Xenopus tropicalis: one gene and its partner. The protein of the gene in region 1 purifies or fractionates together with the protein of each later gene. This does not show direct contact. Links are inferred from orthologs where the notes say so. Each region holds a gene or a part of one and is shown in the gene's direction. Other genes may lie near its edges.

What was found. The genes of interacting proteins can lie anywhere in the genome.
Region 2: the proteins of ift57 (region 1) and ift27 purify together in Homo sapiens (co-immunoprecipitation; 3 studies listed by BioGRID and IntAct, with this or other methods). This does not show direct contact. The link is inferred for Xenopus tropicalis from reciprocal best matches to the Homo sapiens genes IFT57 and IFT27.

Annotation. Positions count from the first base shown.
Region 1 is NC_030678.2:103,603,821-103,608,936, reverse strand, and holds part of ift57 (intraflagellar transport protein 57 homolog), read left to right. Parts: intron 1-130; coding exon 131-221; intron 222-1,586; coding exon 1,587-1,658; intron 1,659-2,314; coding exon 2,315-2,437; intron 2,438-2,962; coding exon 2,963-3,034; intron 3,035-3,539; coding exon 3,540-3,671; intron 3,672-4,460; coding exon 4,461-4,523; intron 4,524-4,610; coding exon 4,611-4,677; intron 4,678-5,116. UniProt on the Homo sapiens protein: Required for the formation of cilia. Plays an indirect role in sonic hedgehog signaling, cilia being required for all activity of the hedgehog pathway.
Region 2 is NC_030680.2:123,415,179-123,421,354, forward strand, and holds part of ift27 (intraflagellar transport protein 27 homolog), read left to right. Parts: intron 1-1,572; coding exon 1,573-1,652; intron 1,653-1,827; coding exon 1,828-1,887; intron 1,888-2,792; coding exon 2,793-2,852; intron 2,853-5,099; coding exon 5,100-5,217; intron 5,218-6,176. UniProt on the Homo sapiens protein: Small GTPase-like component of the intraflagellar transport (IFT) complex B that promotes the exit of the BBSome complex from cilia via its interaction with ARL6. Not involved in entry of the BBSome complex into cilium. Prevents aggregation of GTP-free ARL6.

The DNA of each region.
Region 1 (5,116 bases):
GATGATAAATAAAGTAAATGATGCAGGGGAAAGCAGAAAGTAGTATATTTGTAGGGTTCTCAGTGTAAGATTTTTATAAGTATGTTTATTGTATCTAATCTGTCCGTTGCCATGTTCTGTATCATTATAGGCCTACATACCCAACAGAAGAGCAAGACGAAGAAAATGTAATTGAGGACGATGCTGAGTTGACTTTAAACAAAATTGAAGATGAAATTGCTGTGAGTATCTGCACGGCTTTTGTATTTTAATGCAATTTGTATCCCTAAAGGCACAGTCAGTTAGAATTGGTAAAAAATAATAGGGATAGAAATATGAAACAATCCTAGTTTTAGTTTAAGCTAGGTTTAAATATCTTGTAGCTCTCTGTTCCATAAGAATCCACTGGTTCTGCCCACTGCAAGATTGCTGGCATTGCAAAATGTGACCATGCATGGGAATGCCCAGATTGCACCTTTCTGACTGTTTGACCCAGGCCACATCATGTGGAATTTCAACTGCTAACTACTGTGGGTCAGAACATGACCCTATACATGAGCAGGTAATGGTCATTTTTCAGAAATGAGGGAGTCAGTTTGATAACATATTGGGTCGGATTCACTAAAGGTGGTTAACACGTAACGCATAGTTTTGTGCATTAAAAAGTGTTCGATAATTAAGTACCGAATCATCAAAGTCTTTTTTCATTCGTTACTACTCATATCGCATGTGCAAAAAGCCTGATTATGGCAAAGCGTTATTTCCATCGCATTGAGGTAATTATTGAATAGAAATAATACTAACGTGTAATTCACAAACATATTTGAAGCATTAAAAGCATAAAATGTGGCGATAATTACTGTGAAACTTAACGCCACCCACGAGTAGGCGTTACTAAACAAAATTGCAGCTGGTGATTGTCTGTGGTGACAAAATGGACTTGTCATGCATCCTCCAGTTTTCAGGGAAATGGTAATTTTCAGAACAGTAGTTTTCAGAAAGTAACGGTTACGTGCGCAATAGCGTGCGCTAATATCGCGTGCTACGAAATAACGCATAAATATATTGCATGGTTTAAAATAACTCTTAAAAATATGTCATTGCCAGAATAACGACAATTACATCGCTTCTTAATTCTGACAAGTGTCCTCTTAGTGAATTGATCCTTAATTCTCAAAATATAAGAAGTGATAATATTTTTAACGCATGCTATAAATATCACTCGTTTTTTCGGACTTGAGTGAATCGGCCCCATTGTGTTGGCACAACTAAAAAAAGGTAATTAATGCTATGCCAGTGGCATGGCGCCTAGCAGAGCAGTAAAGAACTAGGAAGCAGGTTTCTAGTTATGGCGGTCACTTATAGCATTGAATAGAACTGCCAGGCCTAGAAAGAGCACTGGCTAAGAGAGGGTTAAAAAATGCATGTTCCCTTTAATGTACCTTTTAAGAATAACTTTTTTTTTTTTTTACTATGTAAAGGCATTGGATGTTTTCCATGGAAAATTTAAAACATATACTTGTGATGTGAAATGATGCTTATGCACATATTTTGTTGTCTATGTACTATACATGTATAAAAGTTAACTAAAGCTGTATCATTTTTAGGAAGAGGATTCTGACAATGATCAGGAACATTTTATTGATTTAAATGCTCTTTCAGCACAAACACAGAAACTGGTAAGTTACATTTTTGTTTCATGAATGTAAATATACGATATATATAGGCTTTTAAAATGATTTTATTATCCACTTAATTCTAGGAATACAATGTCCTAGGGATGACTCTTTGTTCTTCATTTACTAGGATAGAAGCAGTGCTCCCCTTTAGGCCTTTTAATAGTGAAGAAGCACAAAGAGTGAAACACTGAGGTGCAGGTTCAAAATTTTAGCCCCTGTTTTCTTTATAAGTGGTGGAAATTGGGCTGCCAAGCTCTGCTGGAGACCAACTGCCACCATGGCTAAAGCAAGACAGAACTGAAAGATTCTGGGCACGATAGGGATGAAGTTAGTTATAATATGTCTGTATCCTTATGATACTTATTCAAATAAAACAAAAAAACATGTTCCATATTTCTAAGTAAGACTAACATCGATTTTAATGGGGGAGATTCTGTTATTGTGCATACAACTTTACCTATGTTCACTGAGTTGCCGTAGAACTTTCTCAGATGAGGCACTCTTTATAGGTTTTAAGAGAATAGTGCCACCTAGTAGATGTTTATTTCTGTGGAGAATGTATAACATCACAAGATACCAATTTGTTATGCATTAAAACTGAGTGCTGAATGGCCTTTTGTAACTTCACATATAAACCTATTTCTGTATTACTTTAGAATACAAAGGAATCTTCCAAACCAGAAGAGATTTTGGAATCAAACACAGATGCAGCAGAATGGATCCTAGAAGTGGAACGTGTTCTGCCCCAGCTTAAAGTCACAATCAGGACAGACAACAAGGTCTCATTGTTAGACATCATTCTATTATTCCACAGCACTTTACAGAGTTGATCAGTGCTCACATTATTCCCTTCCGCAGTGGAGCTTACAGTCAAGTTTACTACAATAAGCATATGCACACAATAGGGTCTGTTTATCGAGCAACTAAGCCATTCGGTGGTAAGGAAATGAAGGGTCAGCTGGAGGAAACACAGTCACAGAATAATTTAAGGCAGCAATGCTAACTACTAGGTCACTGTGCTGCCATTTTGTAAGTTTGTATTTTCTGCCTCTATATATGGTAGTGTAAATCACATAACCTTATCACTGTCTGACCTCTGCGATTAGTGTCTGTGACTTTATAAACTTTTTAACCAAGCTTAAACAGTAATGGATTGAATTTCTCCATTTCATAACCGTCATAACAGTAGCTGAGAAAATCACAATTGGCCTGCTTTTTGTAATTATCATTTGGTCAGTATTCTAATTACCAGTTAGGTTTACTTTTCATTTATTTATATTCATATTTATATCTTTGGCTTATAGGACTGGAGGGTCCATGTTGATCAGATGCACCAGCACAGAGATGGCATTGACACATCCTTAAAGGAAACCAAGGTAAAGTTTTGTTTAGGGTTTTTTACCTATGACCCATATTCAAAGTTAAAAAGAGTTTGGGAACAACACAAGCTTGAAAACAGTTCCTGGGGTGCCAGAAAGGGCAGTTTTTGCTATTTGGTAGCCCCATGTGGACTGGCAGTCTATACTTTGTTTTTATGCAACCAAAACTTTCCTCCAAGCCAGAAATTAAAAAATAAGCACCTGCTTTGAGGCTCCTGCGAGCAGCATCCAAGGGGTTGGTGAGCAACCTGCTGCTCATGAGCGAGAGCCACATTAGCAGGCATAACTTTTGTACAGCTACATTTTGTGAGCCATAATATTGTGTGTGTTTGTGTAAATCTGGAAAATACTTTGACAGAGAACAGGAATACGGAATTCACTGACTTAACCTATAGATTAGCACATTATTGAGTGGGAAATAACCATGTTTTTTATTGGCAGTTTTATATAATAGATGGGTAATGGATTTTGTTTTTTTGGTTTTTTTTTGTTTATACTGCAGGGATACCTTGACAAACTTCACAATGAAGTTGCCAAGGCACTGGAGAAAGTTAGTAGCCGTGAAAAGTACATCAACAATCAACTGGAGCAGCTGGTGCAAGAGTATCGATCTGTACAGGCTCAGCTGAGCGAGGTACCCTCACATTCTCACTTCATTGTTCTTCTGTTTTTCTTTAGAAAGACAAATTAAAAACTGTTCAATTCAAGAAGTGCAGACTTAAGTCCTTAATGCAGTACCAAGGGATTTTATCCTTGAAGGCTACTACCATTCACAAACTACATTACACAGTATCCCCACTACACTGTGTGAATGCCCTGGATTCAGCCCCACTGAATGCAAGTCTTCTCAGCCTGACAGAATATGCACTAAGGCCATGGGTACATGAAGTGGAAAAGAGGGAATTGTATACTGTTAATCTTATATATCTCACCATGACTAAACATGAAATAGCTTCAGTTTCCCTGTTTAGCTCAGGAACTAAGAAAAGATTTTCATGAATGAATCAAGAGGCAAAAAATATCTTCAGAACAAGCCCTGTTCATAGGACTTATGTTGAACAACAGGGTATATTGTAGCTGCAGCATGGTGGCACTCACTGAAGGCGTCGCACAATGTTTTAGCTATATTTTTACTTGTAACATAGGCTTGCCTTAGGTGAATTTCTGTTTATTGTGAGTTGCAGACATGAATAACACAGTGTTAGTCTCTTGGAAAAAGAGTCTTTCAACTGTATCCTTTCTATTTTTAGAGACAGGATTGTAGACAACAGTTACTGATGAGAGACAAAGACCAAGGGTAAAGAGGGGTGTATGTTTTGTATAATCTTAAGTGATTTGGCTTATATGTAATTGATACTGTACAAATGAATGTTGGGTTAATATTTTTACATGCAAAATTATATTTTCGGGTTTCCTTTATTAGGCAAAAGAAAGATACCAGCAAGCAAGTGGAGGGGTAACTGAGAGAACCAGAATCCTCGCTGAGGTAAAGCATTTCCTTTAGTAATAACAGATGCAGTGTCATCATGACTTCATTCCTACTTTACATATTTCCTTTGTGCTTTATTGTCAGATAACAGAGGAATTAGAAAAAGTAAAGCAGGAAATGGAAGAAAAGGGGAGTAGCATGACTGATGGTGGTGAGACTTTTTTTTATTTTATTTGTTTATTGTTTATCTGGTGTAACTGGAAAAGCACATGACTTACCCAAAAATCATTTCCCCAAACAGGACTAAATATTAAGTAGCAAGTTACACAAAGCTTAACTTTCTTATAACCTTCTCTGCAAGTTGGTATAGCATAGGCCAGCTGTTGGCAGTATTTACTAACCTGGCCTCCTGTTTGCTGTCTGTTTTGTGTGTGTTTACACATACAGGTGCAGCTACTTCTAATGTACATTAGCAGACTCCCCCAGTGACCACAAACACTTACTTTTTAGCCAGGTGCACCTCCTCTGTAAATAGCACAGCACCCTGGAGTACCTTTGTTTAGTGCTGTGCTACAATCATAGGCAGATAGCTGGGAGGTGACTGAAGATGGCAGTAGGGCACTCAGTAGAAAAGTAGCCAAGGCTGGTCT
Region 2 (6,176 bases), on another chromosome or scaffold:
AGTGGCAGTGTTGATTATATACATTACCATATTATGTATAAAGAACACAATACTGCCCAACAGGGCGCATGATTATGTAAGGGAAGAAATTGCATGTCTGGAGTATGTTAGCTGTGAGTGCCATTAAACAGACTAGTGAGCAGCGGAATTGCTTTACCCATAATTACAGACCCCTGAAGAGTTTATTGCGCTTGTATTAAGAAGCCATTGAGACCTTTATTGGTACAAAGTGGAAGAAGGGGAATGTCCCTGGCTTTGCTACGTGATATGGCGGGTGGCTCTGTGTTTGTGCTCACCGAGTTGCATTTATGTTGGGCAGACCAGACAGTGTATAAAGACTAGGCACATAAAGTGTATTTTGCAACAGTACTATCAGCTGGGTTATTTGTAGAATATTCTAAGGGAGAATTTACAAGGAGGTTAGGGATGAGCATTGGTTTTGGTATTGAGAAAAATAATCAAATCTCTGCCTGATGAACAAGAATCTGCCATTTATAAAGCACGTTTAGAATCACCATATTATAAACATTGCTAATTTTAAGCAGGTACTCAGACAGACAGAGCCAGGCTAAGTCAGGGAGGTGCCAAGGCAAACCCCCAAACCATAGCTCTCCCCTATGCTTATCTCTCTGATACAAATGGCCTTCGTGTTTTGGTACTATCCAGCATGAAACGCATTCGGTCATTTGTACCCTTCACAATTAAAATAATTTTTTTTTTTTTTTTTACTATGCCTGTCTCTCTATTGATTCTTTGAGCGCCTTCTTATAAAACACATTTTATTGGATATTGTGTATCATTTTAAAGGGGTGGTTAAGTTAAATAATAATATGTTATGGAAAATCCTATTCCTAGAAATTTGAAATTGTTCTTTATTATTTATTTTTTATAGTTTTTAAATGGGAGTCACAGACCCCAGTACTTAAAAAAACTATCACTGAACTTACAATTTTATCATTTTTACTTTTTATTCCTTAATTTTCTTTTCAGTCCCTTTCTAATTCATATTTCAGTCTCTCGTTCAAACCACTGCCTGGTTGCTAAGGTAAACAAGACCTTAGCAACCAGACATCTGCTGAAATTCTAAATTGGAGATCTACTGAACAAAAAGCTAAATAACTGAAAAATCATAAAAAATGAAAACCAACTGCCAGTTGTCTCAGAATATCACTGCCTGTGTCATACAAAAGTTAATTTAAAGGTGAACCTTCAAGCTAAAGCCCAAGGACATGTGTTCCTCGAATCATATAGGGTGAACATTATTCTGCAATATTTCATCGAACAAGGTGAGAGGAGGGCTTGAGTATTTCTGCTGAGGAGGGGTTAGGAAATGGTCCCTGCGAATCAGAGACAGGCTCTAATGGTTTCCTCTCAATCTGAGGAATCGGGCATGTCTGTGTAAAAAATAAATCTATATATTTATTTCTGGCAGGTCAGATAGTGTTATGCACCATTTTAGCATAGCCCCAACTGAAGGAACTCATGTCAACAAGTGGGATATATTTTCCTTTAAGAGCTGAAATAAAATGTTTTGAGTGAAGGTGTGTGACATATGTTCCTTTGCTATCACAGGTGACACAACTGTGGGGAAAAGTACCCTGGTCCAACTCTTCCGGAGTGATGGGAGCCATTTCCCAAAGAATTACAGTATGGTAGGTCATGCCGAATAGAAATACATTGAATTTATGGTGGATATAGGCTGCAGGGTACCAACGGGATTGGGAAGTAGTGTCTGGGTTTCTGGATTTTGCATGTTGTTGGCGCTGTGTACATTTGATCACCAGTACTGACATTTTCTAAACTACAATGTCATTTTTTGCCTTGCAGACCACTAGCATGGAGGTTTCTGTAAAAAACGTTCAGATACCAGATACTGGAGATAGTGTGGTAAGGGTGCTTTTCTGATTTGTAAATATCGCTCCTGTAGAAAGCAGTCTTTTTCTGGCCCTTTCTGCACAGCTGGTTCTGACTTTTAAAGCAAAGTAAAAGAAGCCAGCTCTCATTCAGCCAAGACTCCCACAATGCTTTGAATGTGTGTTCACAGCTGGCTTCTTCTACACTGGTTGTAGTTTTGTTTTTTGTTTTTTTTTTTTAACAATTTTATTTTATTTTCTGTAGATTCAACAATTATTTTCCTTTGCAAGGTTAATCAAATAAGGGTTGGTTGGAGAATCGGAGACATTTGTGAATAGGGTTGCCAGCAAAAGCCAGACAAAGGTTGTGGGACCAGGCCCATATTTACCCATATAGGCACTTTAGGACCCAAGCTTAGGGCAGCAGCTTTAGTGGCGATGCTCTTGACTGGTGATATGGGAAATAACATTTTTAGCAGAATTTTTTTTTTTTCACCAGATACGTGCCAGCTACATCCAAAATGGATAGGGGGTACCTGTTTGGACAAAAAGTGACGTAATGCATCACTTCCTACCATGCACAATGATGTGGGGTAGGGGGGTGCGCTGGTGATGTCAGGGGTGGAACCGTGATGTCTGGGGCAGTCCAGTAGGTGGCAACCTTATCTGCGGATTGGAAAATATGGTTATAATATATTTCCCAGATGGTAGGGGTTAACAGCCTGGGGCAGCACAAGCTATTTATACCCACTTGGGTAAAGTTAATTTAACCATATATGCTCTGCCAGTTGGGCATTTTGCACAAATAATAATTGGGCCATAAAACATTAAGCCCAGGGTCACACCTCTCCGCTAACCTGCCTTTTCTGTTTTGTCCATTATGCAGTCTGTTCTGAGACTTCACATATAAGCCCAGCTCATTCCATTGTTCCTTTACAGGAGCTCTTCCTCTGCGACAGTCCTGGCAAAGCAATCTTTTATGAGGTGACGGAGAAGCTGGTAAGTCCCTCTGTTCATTCTGACAAAGCTACTGAAGCCAATCCCGCCGTGCTGAGTCTTACGCAATCCAATCTGAAGCACCTCGCACTATAAGGCTCCTGTCTTTTCTTACCTAATAAATGGTTAGGCTGTGAAGTATACAGCTCCTTTCTACTTGATCCAATCCAAAAATAAATCAGGCAGTTGTAATGCTGGTTCCATTTAAGCTCATGATTATGTACAGAGGTCATTTTATAAGAAACATTATTACCCTGATTTTTCCAATTATAATGGTAACCCACAATGTTTTCTTCTTCTTTTATTCCACGTTAAATGAGGGAAGAGAAAAGAAGAAAAGGGGAGAGTTGACACTTATTTCCCTGTGTAACCAAGGCCCTGGAGAATGCAAATCATTGCATGACTGTGCAAATATGAACACATCTCTTCTAGTTGATTAGTAAGGTTTTAAAGAACCCCTTCTTTTAGGGAATCAGTATGGCAGCTTCTGTCTTAGAAAATGAATGTCCTTAGCAATCAGTAAGGAGCGGCATCATGTTTTACAGCAGTGGTTGTTGGACTTTTTCAGTTCAAGCCTTTAATCAGGTCCCCCTTTTTGCTAAAAAGATACAGGTCATTTAGCTTTAGTTTTAAGAACAACAACAAAAAAGTTTTCCCCAATTGAACTCAGGTGTATCTTGGAGAGCAAGCAGGCATTCTCCCAAAATGTCACTGCAACTGACCTTCAGGTTGCCACCCACCTACAGTCTGCTGTACAGGAATAGAGGAGCGAATTAAGGAAACCCACTCCTAAAATGTACTTTAACATGGAATACACTTAAATGGGTAGTTCACCCATATAGAATGACCTATTCTTAGCAACTTTTAAATTGGTCTTTTTTTATTTATAGTTTTTAAATTATTTGCCTTCCTCTTTTGACTCTTTCTAGCTTTAAAAAGGGGGTCACTGACCCCAACAGCCAAAAACTATTCCTCTCTGAGGCTACAATTGTATTGTTACTTTTTATTACTTATCTTTCTATTTAGGCCCTCTCCTATTCATATTGCTGCCTTTTTCAAAACACTGCCTGGTTGCTAGGTGAAATTGGACCCTAGCAACCAGATACCCTCTGAAATTCCAAACTGAAGAGCTACTGAACAAAAAGCAAAATAATTCAAAAACTTCAAATAAAAAATAAAGACCAGTTTCAAATTGTCTCAAAATAGCACTCTCTACATTACTGGGGTTTAAAGCTCAGCTAGGTCAGAGCAATCCTGGGCTAATTCCTTCTGCTTTGCATATGAATAAGGATATCTCTACAAAAATGTGTTTCTTGTGGATCCACTTCCCTGGCTTTACATATGCTAGGGGGGAAAACTGGTCTGTAGTTGGGAATTTGACCAGCATACTGCCCTGCCTGTTCTTTAAAACCCAATGGGTAAACTTCAGCCTATAGGGCAGTGATCCCCAACCAGTGGCTCAGGGGCAACATGTTGCTCACCAACCCCTTGGATGTTGCTCCCAGTGCCCCCAAACCAGGGAGTTATTTCTGAATTCCTGACTCGGTGGCAAGTTTTCGTTGAATAAAGACAATAATAACTACCAAATAAAGCCTCCTGTAAGCTGATGTGTGCATAGAGGCAGTCTAATAGCCAATCATAGCCCTTATTTGGCTCCTCCATGAACTTTTATGATGCTTGTGTTGCTCTCCAAGTCTTTTTGCATTTGACTGTGTCTCACAAGTATGAAAGGTTGGGGACCACTGCTATAGGGTATCCCATATAACTAGAAATTTTAGGAGCAATCTTGAGCTTTCTTCCCAAAAGTCATTCTGAACCAAGGGTTGCCAAAACAAGCAATTATCAGCAGCTTTCCAGAGAGACTCACCTCTTCCCAGTCATTTTTGACGAAAGAGACTCCAGAGAATTGGTGGACTACTAAGATGTAGTAGAAAAAGGCATATGTTGATAAAAGATCCAATGTCTAATTCACTAGTACAGGCTAATTGAGTACTTTGAGGATAGGCAAGGATAAAGCTTCCAGAGTAACCAATGCATTTCTCACATGAGAATATATGGACAAACAGCGATGCATTTATGATTGTGTATAGAAATGTGTGCCCATCATTTACAGGATCCATGTGGGTACCCTATAATGGTAATTAAAATGAAAATATATGTTTATGGGGGAATGTAGGAATTAGAAATAAGATTTTTTTGTAGCATTTCTATTTTTAATGCTGCTTTCTCTGAATGCTCTTTTTCATGCAGTGGGACCAGCCGGGTGCCCTGTGCTTGGTGTTTGATGTCACCAATGAGAGCTCATTCAGTAGCTGCGCAAAGTGGTTGCAGAGAGTTAGAGCGAAGACATTCAGCCCTCAGCTCCCAGGTTGGTGCCAGAGAATGGAAAGTTCCTTTTCCTTGTGTAGCATGCATTCATTTCTCTCTTATTTTGTGTGTCGCTGATTGAAAGGAGTGAAAGGGCCTCAGGTACTAAAGGCAACAAAGCAAAAAACAGTTGCTTTTTTAGCCACAATGCAGTGTTATTTTGTTCCCTAAATTTCATTGTCACTACTCATCAGAAATGTTGCACCTACTGCCAGGCACGGAATGCACAAATGTGGGCATAAAATACGTCCTTTTGTAAATGTCAGACAAATTGACATCAATGCCACAATATTACAGCTTGCTTGTTGGTTAATGCAATAGAAACCACATACAGTATGAGACCTGGGAGCAGTGCAGTGTGGAAGGTTCCCTTGCACCTGTAGCTCAGCATGCTGCACCACATTTTGCAGTTGGTCTTCATTTTTTGTTATTTGTGTTTTTTTTTTTTTTTAAATTATGTAGCTTTTTGTTTAGCAGCTGTCCAGTTTGGATTGAAGTGGCTATCTGGTTGCTAGGGTCCAATTTAACCAAGCAACTATGCAGTGATTTGAAGGAGAGACAGCAATATGAATGGAGGAGGGCATAAATAGAAAGTAAAAAAAAAAAGTAACCGTAATGAAAAAAATTGTAGCCTCCCAGAGCAATATGGCTGCTGGGGTTAGTGAGCACCATGTGAAAGCTGGAAAGTCAGAAGAGCAGGCCTGGATTTGGGGAGAGGCCACAAAGGCCCGGGCCTAGGGCGGCACAACTTGAGGGCGGCATGCAGCCCCACCACACCAAAATTTTGAAATTTTGTTCTGTTACAGAGCAATGGGGACTTCTCCCCACTGCTCCGTATGCAAGTTCGGTCTTCCGCGCATGCACACGCACCCGCTGTTCGCACATGCGCACTCCTGGGGGCTGTTGTTGGATGGGGAGATGACCAGGGAAAATCCGGCCCTGCAGAAGAGGAAGACAAAT